3 linked regions of the Kluyveromyces lactis genome follow. The protein of the gene in region 3 interacts with the protein of the main gene of each other region in a biochemical or structural test. Links are inferred from orthologs where the notes say so. Each region holds a gene or a part of one and is shown on either strand. Other genes may lie near its edges.

Region 1 (3,529 bases), on a different chromosome or scaffold from region 3:
GAAAAATGGTCTTGGAAAATTAGCTCCGAAATCGGCTGACTTAAGCTCATTGATGGATCCCGTGAAGATAGCAGAACAATCCATTGATCTCAATCTCAAGCTAATGAAATGGAGGATTGCTCCTGACATTGATCTAGAAAGAATAAAGAACATTAAAGCATTGATCTTGGGGTCAGGTACCCTAGGTTGCTACGTGGCTAGAGCTTTATTAGCTTGGGGTACTCGTCATGTAACTTTTGTCGACAACAGCACTGTCTCTTTCTCTAATCCGGTAAGGCAACCATTATTCAACTTTGAAGATTGTGGGCGACCAAAGGCCGAAGCTGCCAGTGACTCTCTGAAGAAGATATTTCCTTCTGTCGTTTCTGCAGGTTATCAATTGGAAATACCAATGATAGGACATCCTGTATCGAACGAAAGCAAGCAGAGGAAGGATTATGAAATTTTGGACGAGCTTATAAGGACGCATGATGTTATATTTCTTTTAATGGATGCACGCGAGACGAGATGGCTTCCCTCGGTGCTTGGACGAATGCATGAAAAAATAGTTATTAATGCGGCCCTTGGTTTTGACAGTTATTTGGTAATGAGACATGGCAACAATAATGACAACCTGGGTTGCTATTTCTGTAACGATATCGTGGCCCCAAGTGATTCTCTAACTGACAGAACATTAGATCAGATGTGTACTGTAACTAGACCGGGTGTTGCCCTATTAGCGGCTTCCCAGGCTGTTGAATTATTGGTGACATATCTTCAGCCTTCGACGAACGTGCTTGGGTCAGCTCCGCATCAAATACGAGGATTTCTAAATGAATTTAAAACTGTAAAACTTGAAACACCGGCATATCAGCACTGTTGTGCAAGCAATGAAAATGTCATTTTAACTCTAAAGGAAAACGGATGGAATTTCGTGAAACAGGCGCTAGATGATTATAAGTGTGTGGAGCAATTAAGTGGACTGTCGAAGGTGCAAGAGGAGGCTGAATTGGCAATTCAAGAAGATATTTCCTTTGATGACGACGAGGAATTGTCAATAGAGTGAAGTATAGCCAGTGCATCTGACAGGCTGATGCGTGGAATGATGTGACATGCATTCCTTTTGTGATGAAGCGTAGAAATCGATATTCGTCGTTAGGAAAAGGTGTTTATCTCTGATTTAACGGTCAGGATGAAATTTAGTTTTATAATTCCCAAGATAAATATAAGTCTTGCACAATTTGCAGCGTATTACGCCATGACGGGCTTGGTACACCTACATAACTGGGCCTTTTTCCGTGATCCATCAGCTTATACCAGGCATGTTTTAGATGTAGACTAAACTCGTTATCCGACTGTGGTGTACGGATGTATAAATCAACTTGAAAAATTACCAAAGCATACAAGAACGGGAATATATATTAGGTCGAGTAGACAGGATAAATAGTCACACGTAGACAAGATAAATAGTCACACGTAGACAAGAAGCTAAGCACCAAATGCCACCGAAGAGACGCCACCATGGTGCTGGAAGAGTCCAGAATAAGAGGGGAAAAGTTGACACTGTAAAAGAGGAAATCAAACCCAAAGATGAGCCTGTGGAAACTGAAATCGATGGCGGATCTGCAGTTGATGAAGATGTTACCGATGATTTAGAACACAAGACGAGCAAGGAAGACCAGAAGGAAGACCAGAAGGAAGAGGACGGACCTATAGATGCACAGAACGGAACTTCTGAAACAAAAGTTGCGGGGGAATCCGTAAAAACAGTGGAAGACAAAATCGAATCAGTTACAACGAATGAAGAGGTCGTTGAATCACCAGTCAATGACTACAATGCCAGTAGTACAACTACCAAGGCTGAAGAGAAACAATTAGAGGAAGAAGCAAATGAAAAGACGGATACATCTCCTATAGTTGAAAATGAGGTCGTTGATGAAGAGGCCGGCACAACAAAATTTGACTTTGATGGTCAAGAATACAGTTATAAAGACAGACCTAGTGTAATAGAAGAGAAGGAAGGAAAGATTGAATTCAGAGTGGTTAATAATGATAATAGCAAGGAAAATATGATGGTTTTAACAGGGTTAAAGAATATCTTTCAAAAGCAATTGCCTAAGATGCCCAAAGAATATATTGCTCGTTTAGTTTACGATCGTTCACATCTTTCTATGGCCGTGGTACGGAAACCGTTGACTGTTGTTGGTGGAATAACCTATAGACCTTTTGATAAAAGAGAGTTCGCAGAAATTGTCTTCTGTGCTATTAGTTCGACCGAACAAGTCAGAGGTTACGGTGCACATTTAATGAATCATTTAAAAGATTACGTGAGGGCAACATCGCCAATAAAGTATTTTCTAACATATGCGGATAATTATGCTATCGGGTATTTCAAGAAGCAGGGATTCACGAAAGAGATCACATTGGACAAGAATGTCTGGATGGGATACATAAAGGATTATGAAGGTGGTACCTTAATGCAATGTTCCATGCTGCCAAGAATCCGGTATCTTGATGCAGCAAAAATCCTCTTATTGCAAGAAGCAGCAATTAGAAGGAAAATTCGTAGCATTTCTCAATCTCACATAGTTCGTCCAGGTTTGAAACAGTTCTTGGATCTTGATAATATAAAACCCATCGATCCAATGACAATACCTGGTTTAAAAGAAGCTGGCTGGACTCCAGAAATGGACGAACTGGCGCAGAGACCAAAACGTGGCCCTCATTATGCAGCAATGCAAAATCTTCTCACCGAATTGCAAAATCATGCAGCGGCATGGCCCTTTTTGCAACCCGTCAATAAGGAAGAAGTCCCCGACTATTACGAATTTATTAAGGAACCAATGGATTTGAGTTCTATGGAAATGAAACTAAACGGGAACAGATACGAAAAGATGGAAAATTTCATATATGATGCAAGGTTAATATTTAACAATTGTCGTGCGTACAACGGTGAAAACACATCTTATTTCAAGTACGCAAATCGTCTAGAAAAATTCTTCAATTCTAAAGTCAAAGAGATTCCAGAGTATTCACATCTTGTGGATTAATACTAACGATAATGAAATACTAATTTGTCGATATCTTTGCGTACCTGAACAGTCTACATGGCGAAAGTTGGCACATATATATATGATATGTATAAATATACATATACCGAAAGTGTAACATTAAAAGGCTCAGAAGGAGCTCCTGTATGTATACAAGCAATCCATGATTAGAGAAATAATGAAATTTTATAATCGATTTTCTGTTGATTAATAACGTGTTTCGAAAGACAAGGAGTGTAATCTATCACTCCATTTCGACATCCGAATGTTCGGACCCAGGAGGCTTCTCCTCCTTTTCCTTTTCCTTTAACTCTTTTATAATTTCAGCAGTTTTCTCATCTGAATAGATTTGAAATCCCTCTTTTGTGATACTGCTCAATTGTGCATTATTTTCATCTAATTTCTCTTCCATTACTTGCTTTAAGATCTTTAACACCAGCGATTCCGCCTCTTTCAAAGTAAGCGATGAATGCCATTCGTTTTGTAATTCTGATTGTGCA
Region 2 (3,293 bases), about 360 kb from region 3:
TTTTTAAGTACTCAATCGCACGCACGTCATGTGGCTCTTAATAGGTGAGTATTGATATTATTATGAACTGACAAGGTGAAATCCGGTATGAAAAAGGTAGGACGGAAGCTAGAAAGAAAAGTATTGCTATAAAAGGAAGAATTATGATGTCCAAGTGCCCTTTTCCTAGTGAGGAATAGGGAATGCTTAACATAAATAAAAAGAATCCACTGCCCAATATGAACACTATTAGGGACAGGATAGAACTATAGGTTTTCCGAAAGACATTGAAATGAACTTTAAAATTGAAGAGAAATATGATATGCAAAGGGGGGGAGCGTAGGATAGCATTGAACAACGGTGTTGCCTGCAACAAGTAGGCATATGAGAAGTAACTATTTGTATGCACATTAATTTCGTGTATTAATTTCATTTTCTTTGGATGTGCTGGGTAGAACGTTACATTAATGCATTTGTATTTGCATATTTCCTTCTCTCAACTAGTCTTTTTTTTTGTTTTTAGTTTTCCTTTTGTCTTGTCGGTTCTATATCAGTTTGCCAGTCAATCTATATATATCGTTAGATGACAACCCTTGTAATTCACTTTCCTCAAAATGTAGCAATGGTAAAGAATCGATCAACGAAAGGTTTGAGTCCGACCCGGTGTTGCTGACGATATCAGTGAAGTACGTCGAATTGAACATACATTGTAAAGCGCTGTATCTGATATTAGGATCATATTTCATGATATGGTATAATAAGTCTATAGTTTCCTGTGTTTCCTTCTTGAAGATCCTATTCAATGGGATCGGTCTGATCTGAGGGAACTTATGTTCGGAGTAGTTTTCATTCATGGAACAGATCTCTTCCCTGGTTGGTGTACCCAAAACTTTAATAATTTCAACCAATTGATCGATCTTAGATTCACCAGGGAAAATGGGTTGTCCTAATAGCAGTTCAGCCATAACACAACCTGCAGACCAAATATCAATCTTTGTTGTGTAATTGGTAGCACCAAAGATCAACTCTGGGGCTCTGTAGTAACGGGAGCAAATATATGACACATTGGGCTCGTTTGGTTTCAACTGTTTAGCAGACCCCAAATCACAGATTTTCAACAGTAAAGTATCTGGATCCACCAAAATATTCTGTGGTTTGATGTCTCTATGGCAGACATTGACCACTTGATGCAAATAGTTTAAAGATTTGAACAATTGGAACATGTAAATCTTGATTTCGTAACGATCCATTGGTTGATGCAAGGAAATGAACTCTTTGAGCCGTTGATAAAGAGACATGGGCATGTAATCTACAATCAAATTTAGATAAAGTTCTTGGTCCGATTGTTCAAGGAAATAGTACTTCAAATCGATCAAATTCGGATGACTGATCAATTTCATGATCTCCAGTTCTCTATTCTTAAACCGTCTATCCTGTAGAACCTTCTTAATGACAACATCCTCCCCAGTCTCTTTCACTTTTGTTCTGAAAACGACACCAAACGAACCATTTCCCACAATTTCAGGTGTGCCGCATGAAATAACAACTGACTCCTCGGGGTTGGAATGGCCTTTCACCACAGTCCTTCGGGTTATTACTTCGTCTTCATCTGGAACGATTTTAACATCATTACCATGACTGTTCTTACTATGAAGACTGCCTTGTTTTAAATCATCACTGGGTAAAATGGAATCCATCTCTGTCTCAAAACCAGCGTTTTTATCGTTAGTATATGCAATAATAGATCTTGAACCACCGGCACCGCTACTTTCGAGCAATTCACCAACTTTCATTCAAAAAAAAAAAGGAGTATTGTACTAAAACTATGCTGACATGCACACTTTTCTCTGAATCCTTTCTCTCTCACAACAGATAAGAAGTGATTGATCTGTCTGTGTGTGTTAATTGTTATATGCGAAGTCTTGTTCTTGGTGTTCTTTTTTTTTTACCTTAAATTTCACCAAATTTTCCAAAAACTTCAAACACGCAACGTCTTCTAAGACCAGTAAAATAAAATATTCAGCACACGCACTCACAAACACACGCGCACACCGATTCAAAATATTATGCGGGGGGGAGAGAATCAGGTTAAAAACAACAGTTTTATCGTCTTTCTTGTCTGGCTCAATGAAAAATTTTCCAATGTCCTCATGTCTTTCTCAAAGTTTTATTCAGACAATAAATACTAAGCGGAAAGAGTAAACTAAAACTGCTTGCAAATTGCTTTGTTAGTCCAGACATTTATTGTATCGAATCAGCTTACTGGAAAATTGAAGGAGAGAGAAATCGAAATAGTTTTTTTTTTTTTGCCTGAAAGCATGACTGGGTTGAGAGCCTTCCCTTGTATATGCGTAGAAAGCAAGAAAAGTGTTTTGTCTGACAGAATAATCTAGGAACTGACTAGCCAGACTACTGAACAGTTTGCCCCTTCGTAGTATTACTTAATAGGAAGAAGATTGCTTGTTCAAATAGTATAGTTTTTCCTGGAACCGGATGCCAGGGAAAAGTGGAAGTTCGTGAGTACTTCTCCGTTAGTCCGATCACATCCAGGAAACCAAGCAGGGAAGCCACTCAGGGGCCACCTAGGCAGGGATCAAGGACAAATGGAGCAAAGGGTGCCGATAGGGAAAGGGGGTCGGAAAAAAAGTTCCAAATTGAAAATTGTATACATACTTGTTACCCGACGTGATGGGGCGGCGTTATTGCCGGTAATTTGTTTGTGGGGCGGAACGGTAGACGAAGCTTTGGATGTCACGTGTTTAGCATTTTTGTCAGAGGAAGCCGTTGTTGTCGATGAAGACGACGGTGATGAAATGTCAGACGCAACGATGGATTCCATCGCTACATCATGTACCAATTTCAGTTCGTCTTCCAAACTGAGCTGTTTCACAACGAGCTCGACATCGAGCTCTTCTGTGTATCTGTCATGACAAGGTAGTGCACCGGCAGCTTTATCCTTGCTCTTGCTCTTGGCCTTGCCGTTCTGTCCAGTTTTCTTGTCGACAACAACTGGTACTTCGGCTACCACTTGTGGACCAGACTTGCGTCTGGTCCACGTGATGCCCTCAGGATTGTATGTTGGATGAATCTTATCTCTAATCTTTTTGAACATCTTTCGTCTGTATTGCTGGTGGTTACGACTGGTCGGGGTATGGCTTTTCTCGTTCTTGGTGAAGTCATCTAAACGATGGAGTTTATCAACCTCTGGTGTTATATACGCGTGAATTATTTACACAAATTTTTCATCACTACTGTAAATTCATTTATCAGACACAAATGTCGTGCAAGTAATATGTCAACTGTGGTTTGTGCTG
Region 3 (4,285 bases):
TGTGTTTACCTTTCATGTACTGAAGTGATTCACATATAATTATTTTTAACGCCTTGTTTTTCTCTATTCCTTAGTTACTGAAACGACACTTTTTTAAATTTTATCTTAATTATTCCAAATTTTGGTTGTAATGTATGTGTCTATATTTTGTATGTTCTTTTATTTTATCTTATTTTATTTTGTTGATCCTCATATCATCTCAATCCTCCTTTGAAAGCAGCATAAAGTTTAAATATTGAACTACGTTGTCTTTTGAAATCATTTCCATACTATTCCCTAAGCTTTGTGCTTAAAATACGTACAATTCATACATTGTATATTAAAGTCAGTCTACACATTTATTACAGCAAATATATCTGAGTATATTATATATTGGGAGGTGAACATAATCATAAAAGTTCAGTCAAAAATGGTATCTATAGAGTTTTGAGGGGTTGTCCATTATTGTAAAAAAACTGAGAACACCTGATGATACAGATGTGTGTCTGAGAAGAATTTAGAGATGATTGTCTCTTTGATTATAACCAAGTCTTCTTTTTCATTGCTTGTCTCTTAGCTTCTTTTGTTTTCTTTTTAATTTCTTCGAGTTTTGCTGCCTTTTTAGCAGGATCTGAAATAAAATCGGGTTTTACTATGTCGTAAAAGCATTCGAGGTGCAACCTCACGCAGTTCTGGCATTGCGGTTTCTCTTCTGTACATTTCTTCTTACGCAATCTACAGATCCAGCAGCCAGTTCTTGACCGTGCCCCCGTAGCATTTCTTTTCTTTATTTGATCACTTGATTTGACCATTTGCTCGTTAGAAACATCATTATTGTAATTAGATTCTTTAAACTTCAGTTGTTTGGCATGTTTGGAATTCGGTGACAATAATCCAGTGTGTTCAGTAGATAATGATGAAGACCTTGATCTTTTTATATGCATACCATTTTCCGAGATATCCGCAGCGGGGTATGCCGTAGTATCTGGATGGTCTCCAATCTCATTTTTAATTCCTGTCAATTGAGATTGATAATGTGGTGGGCCTGATCTTCTTCTGGACAATCTTCTTTTTCCATTCTTATTCCATGCAACAGTTTCTGGTGCCTTTGATCCCCCTTCGGTCATTTCGTAATCACCATCGCCATACCCGTCATCATCATCATCCTCTTCTTCCATTATAACGAGTTCATCCTGGTTGCCAGTCAATGGTCGTTGGTTAACCCGAAGCACTGGCTTAGGTAAAAGTCTTTTGGAGAACGGATTAAAGGCATTATTTTGGAGAGATTGGTTTGATAATGACGAATTCGGTCGGCTATCATGATTGCCAGAGCCGAACTGTTCGTTAAATGGGGGTAATGGGGAAGACCTCATCTGAGAAATGATTGCGGCAGCTTCCGCATCCACGTTGGAATCTTGATCATTCAAAGTTGGGTTGACCATTGTGCTATTATATGGATACTTGTTAGCCGACTCTACTTTCGGAAAAGCGTTTGAGGATCCTAATAACACTCTATTCCTTAACTCATCGAATTTTGTGTTGAAATACTTCGGTTGGTAGGTAATATGTGTATTATTGTTATTACTGTTTGCTGTGCTACCGTTATTACTGCCACTACTATTACTGCCACTACTAGAATTACTGAAAGGACCATGAACCTGATCGGTTTCGAACATATAGGTTGGAGAAACAATTCTATTCATGGTAGATGAGACCTGCGGGTTTTGATTTTGATATTTTGGATGTAGGAAGGATCCTGTGGAGTGAGGAGGATTTGACGCTGCTGAGGATGGGAAATGAATAGTGTATTCATTTCCTGCCGTAGATGGAGGGGGCGAGATTGATTCTGCTGTCGATCTCGAGTTTAGTAATGAAGTAATATTGATCTTTTGAGCTGAAATTGATGAGATGCCTGCACCCGGATCTATTTTCTCTGTGGAACAATCAAAATGTAGTCTTTTTGGAGTCATGGCGCTTCCTGTGGCATGCAGATCTCTATCACGGGAAGCGCTCGAGGTCTCAAGGATCGGCGAAGATGAAGGCGCAGCAATACCGCTCGCACCGTCATGTGAAACAGTTCCAGGATTACCAATGTTTCTGCCATTGCCCTTTTTGCCTTCGAGTCTATGTCCGCTTTGTCGCAGCATGCGTTCATTTTGATGACTACCAGTATCAGCTTGAATTTCCTCGCCCTTTCTTGAATCGTGAAGTGTTTCTGTTTCACTCACTTGACCAGAGTCTATCCTATCGTTGAACAAATACACGGGAGTGCGCGAGTCTTGATATAAGGTGCTACTCCCTTTCCCAGTGTTCGGCAGCGTATTGCTACTGGATATACAGATAGATGGTGTACGCGTATTTATTTTTGGAACATGTTGTTTATCAGCCGAAACCACGTGATCAAAGTCTTGGGTACCCGTTTTTTTCTCAAATTTCACGGCAACCTCCTTTTCCTCTTGCTTAGTCTCTCCGTAACGAGGAAGTGGCGGCAAAACCTCGGTTTGAGGCTTTGTCCCTGGAATCCCGGAAGGCTCTCCACGTGAAGGAGAGATAACACCCTGTTGTAGATCGTTTTCCTCCACAGGCGTATTATTCGGAGCAGCAGTAGGAGACATCGCTAAATGTATCAAGGGGTTGAGCCTTGGTGTATGTCGCAGCAGCGTTTGTTTTTCACCTGTTTTCACTCGTTGTTGTTTTTCGTTTTCTTGTTTTTCATCAATTTTGGTCACTTCCCGCTGGGCGGTTAGCTCCACTTGGGCGGCGTTTGTTTTTGAATGTTCGTCAGGGTAACTTGGCGGGGTACTTTTCTCCGGCACATGCATTTTGGAAGATAACGGAGAAGAGGAGGATAAACGAACAGAGTTCACAGCACGCCGCTCAATTTGACTTTTCTGACGAACCATCTATTCCGAAGGTTCTTTTATATTTGAAGAAAACTTCAGTCTAAGTTTCAGGCCAGCGCTTAGCGCCAAGAGTTTGTGTTACTCTTGAGTTAAAAAAAAACCGATTCTCTCCTCACCCCCTTATAAGACTCTTGAAACTAAACACAATCAGGTATTAAGCCAGGAGCTACGGAATGAGCGGGTTCGTAATTAGTAAGAGAGATTGAACCAGAAGCCTGTCAATTCATAGAGGATCGCGGTTTCAATGAATGTAAGCATTCATAAAGAATAAAAAAATAAAGTAGAGTATATTACAATAAACTAAAACAAGTAAGAGAAATCAAACATTTGTAAAATTCGATTTATATAAATAAATAAACAACGCCTTGGATGTGATTTTCGAACGAGATTCAATTAGGCGTTTTTTTGCCTTTTTTTGAGCGAAAAACTACAGGAAAACAAGCGCAGAAAACGAATCAGAAGGGAGAAAAGGGAAGAAAAAAGGGAACGGCAATGGTACTAGCCATCTAAGCAAGCTCATTGACCTTGCTTTGCTTCTCGGTTTTTTGTTTTTAGTAGGATATCTGAAGTTTGTAAGGTGCACTGCTGTTATACAGTAGCTGATTACATATGTAGCCCGCTAAGATGGTGGGTTTCTTTAATTACCCGTGGGAATAATTTTTGACTGTTTTTGACTTTTCTTATCCATTGGGCGTATCGCTTGACGAAAATTGTCTTGAAACTATTTTACACGCTGGAAAGGGAGAAAAAGATTTGAAAAGAGTAAAGACCATGTATTACCCGGTCATAATCAGTTGTTCCGGCTTAGTAACTTTTGGGCCCAAAGTCTTAATCGATTCAGGCCAAATATAAAGAGTTTTGACGGGAAACTAGAGTAAAATCGATCTAAAGTGAGATAAACTACTTTTGTTAATGTAGTATGGTATTTATAAAAATTAAATTATTGATGATACTTATCATATGGATTTGCTAATATACATTTGTTCCAGATAAGTTGTAGATTAAAAATAATTAAAAAGCACCGCTTATTCCTGCATCTTTTCAACTTTCAGATAGTCTTCTCGTCGTTGTGAAAAGTATTCATTCTGGAGAAGGAAGTAGTGTATTGTTCGAACGGATCGTGCACTGCTCTCTTTTCTAAATCATTTTCTGGATTGTCGACTCTGTCCTTGATGCCGAAGTAATGTCTCTTACCATATTTGTATAATTCAACGCCTGCCCAGAATGCGAAACTAAATCCGATTGCGAATCCCCATTCGTAACTGATATTGTAATGTAAGAACACTTTGTCGTTGATTACTGGGATATAAACCACTGGGAACACGGAACAGAACCCACCAACAATGGACCAAAACAAGAATTGATTGCTCCAGATGTCCTTGAACACTTGAGTGTATGGTGTT

What was found.
Region 1: of the proteins of UME6 (region 3) and GCN5, one has a biochemical effect on the other in vitro, tested with the Saccharomyces cerevisiae proteins (2 studies listed by BioGRID). The link is inferred for Kluyveromyces lactis from reciprocal best matches to the Saccharomyces cerevisiae genes UME6 and GCN5.
Region 2: of the proteins of UME6 (region 3) and KLLA0_F17006g, one has a biochemical effect on the other in vitro, tested with the Saccharomyces cerevisiae proteins (2 studies listed by BioGRID). The link is inferred for Kluyveromyces lactis from reciprocal best matches to the Saccharomyces cerevisiae genes UME6 and RIM11.

What each region holds. Positions count from the first base shown.
Region 1 is NC_006037.1:454,956-458,484, reverse strand, and holds GCN5 (histone acetyltransferase GCN5), read left to right. Parts: upstream 1-1,478; coding exon 1,479-3,029; downstream 3,030-3,529. Other genes in the region: ATG7 (Atg7p), read left to right, coding at 1-1,045; PUP2 (proteasome core particle subunit alpha 5), read right to left, coding at 3,274-3,529. UniProt on the Saccharomyces cerevisiae protein: Histone acetyltransferase that acetylates histone H2B to form H2BK11ac and H2BK16ac, histone H3 to form H3K9ac, H3K14ac, H3K18ac, H3K23ac, H3K27ac and H3K36ac, with a lower preference histone H4 to form H4K8ac and H4K16ac, and contributes to H2A.Z acetylation.
Region 2 is NC_006042.1:1,561,335-1,564,627, forward strand, and holds KLLA0_F17006g (serine/threonine protein kinase RIM11), read right to left. Parts: upstream 1,773-3,293; coding exon 525-1,772; downstream 1-524. Other genes in the region: KLLA0_F17028g (uncharacterized protein), read right to left, coding at 2,573-3,091. UniProt on the Saccharomyces cerevisiae protein: Serine/threonine protein kinase that is thought to function in regulating kinetochore activity and entry into meiosis. Could phosphorylate IME1.
Region 3 is NC_006042.1:1,922,745-1,927,029, reverse strand, and holds UME6 (DNA-binding transcriptional regulator UME6), read right to left. Parts: upstream 2,883-4,285; coding exon 519-2,882; downstream 1-518. Other genes in the region: KLLA0_F20658g (uncharacterized protein), read right to left, coding at 3,931-4,285. UniProt on the Saccharomyces cerevisiae protein: Component of the RPD3C(L) histone deacetylase complex (HDAC) responsible for the deacetylation of lysine residues on the N-terminal part of the core histones (H2A, H2B, H3 and H4).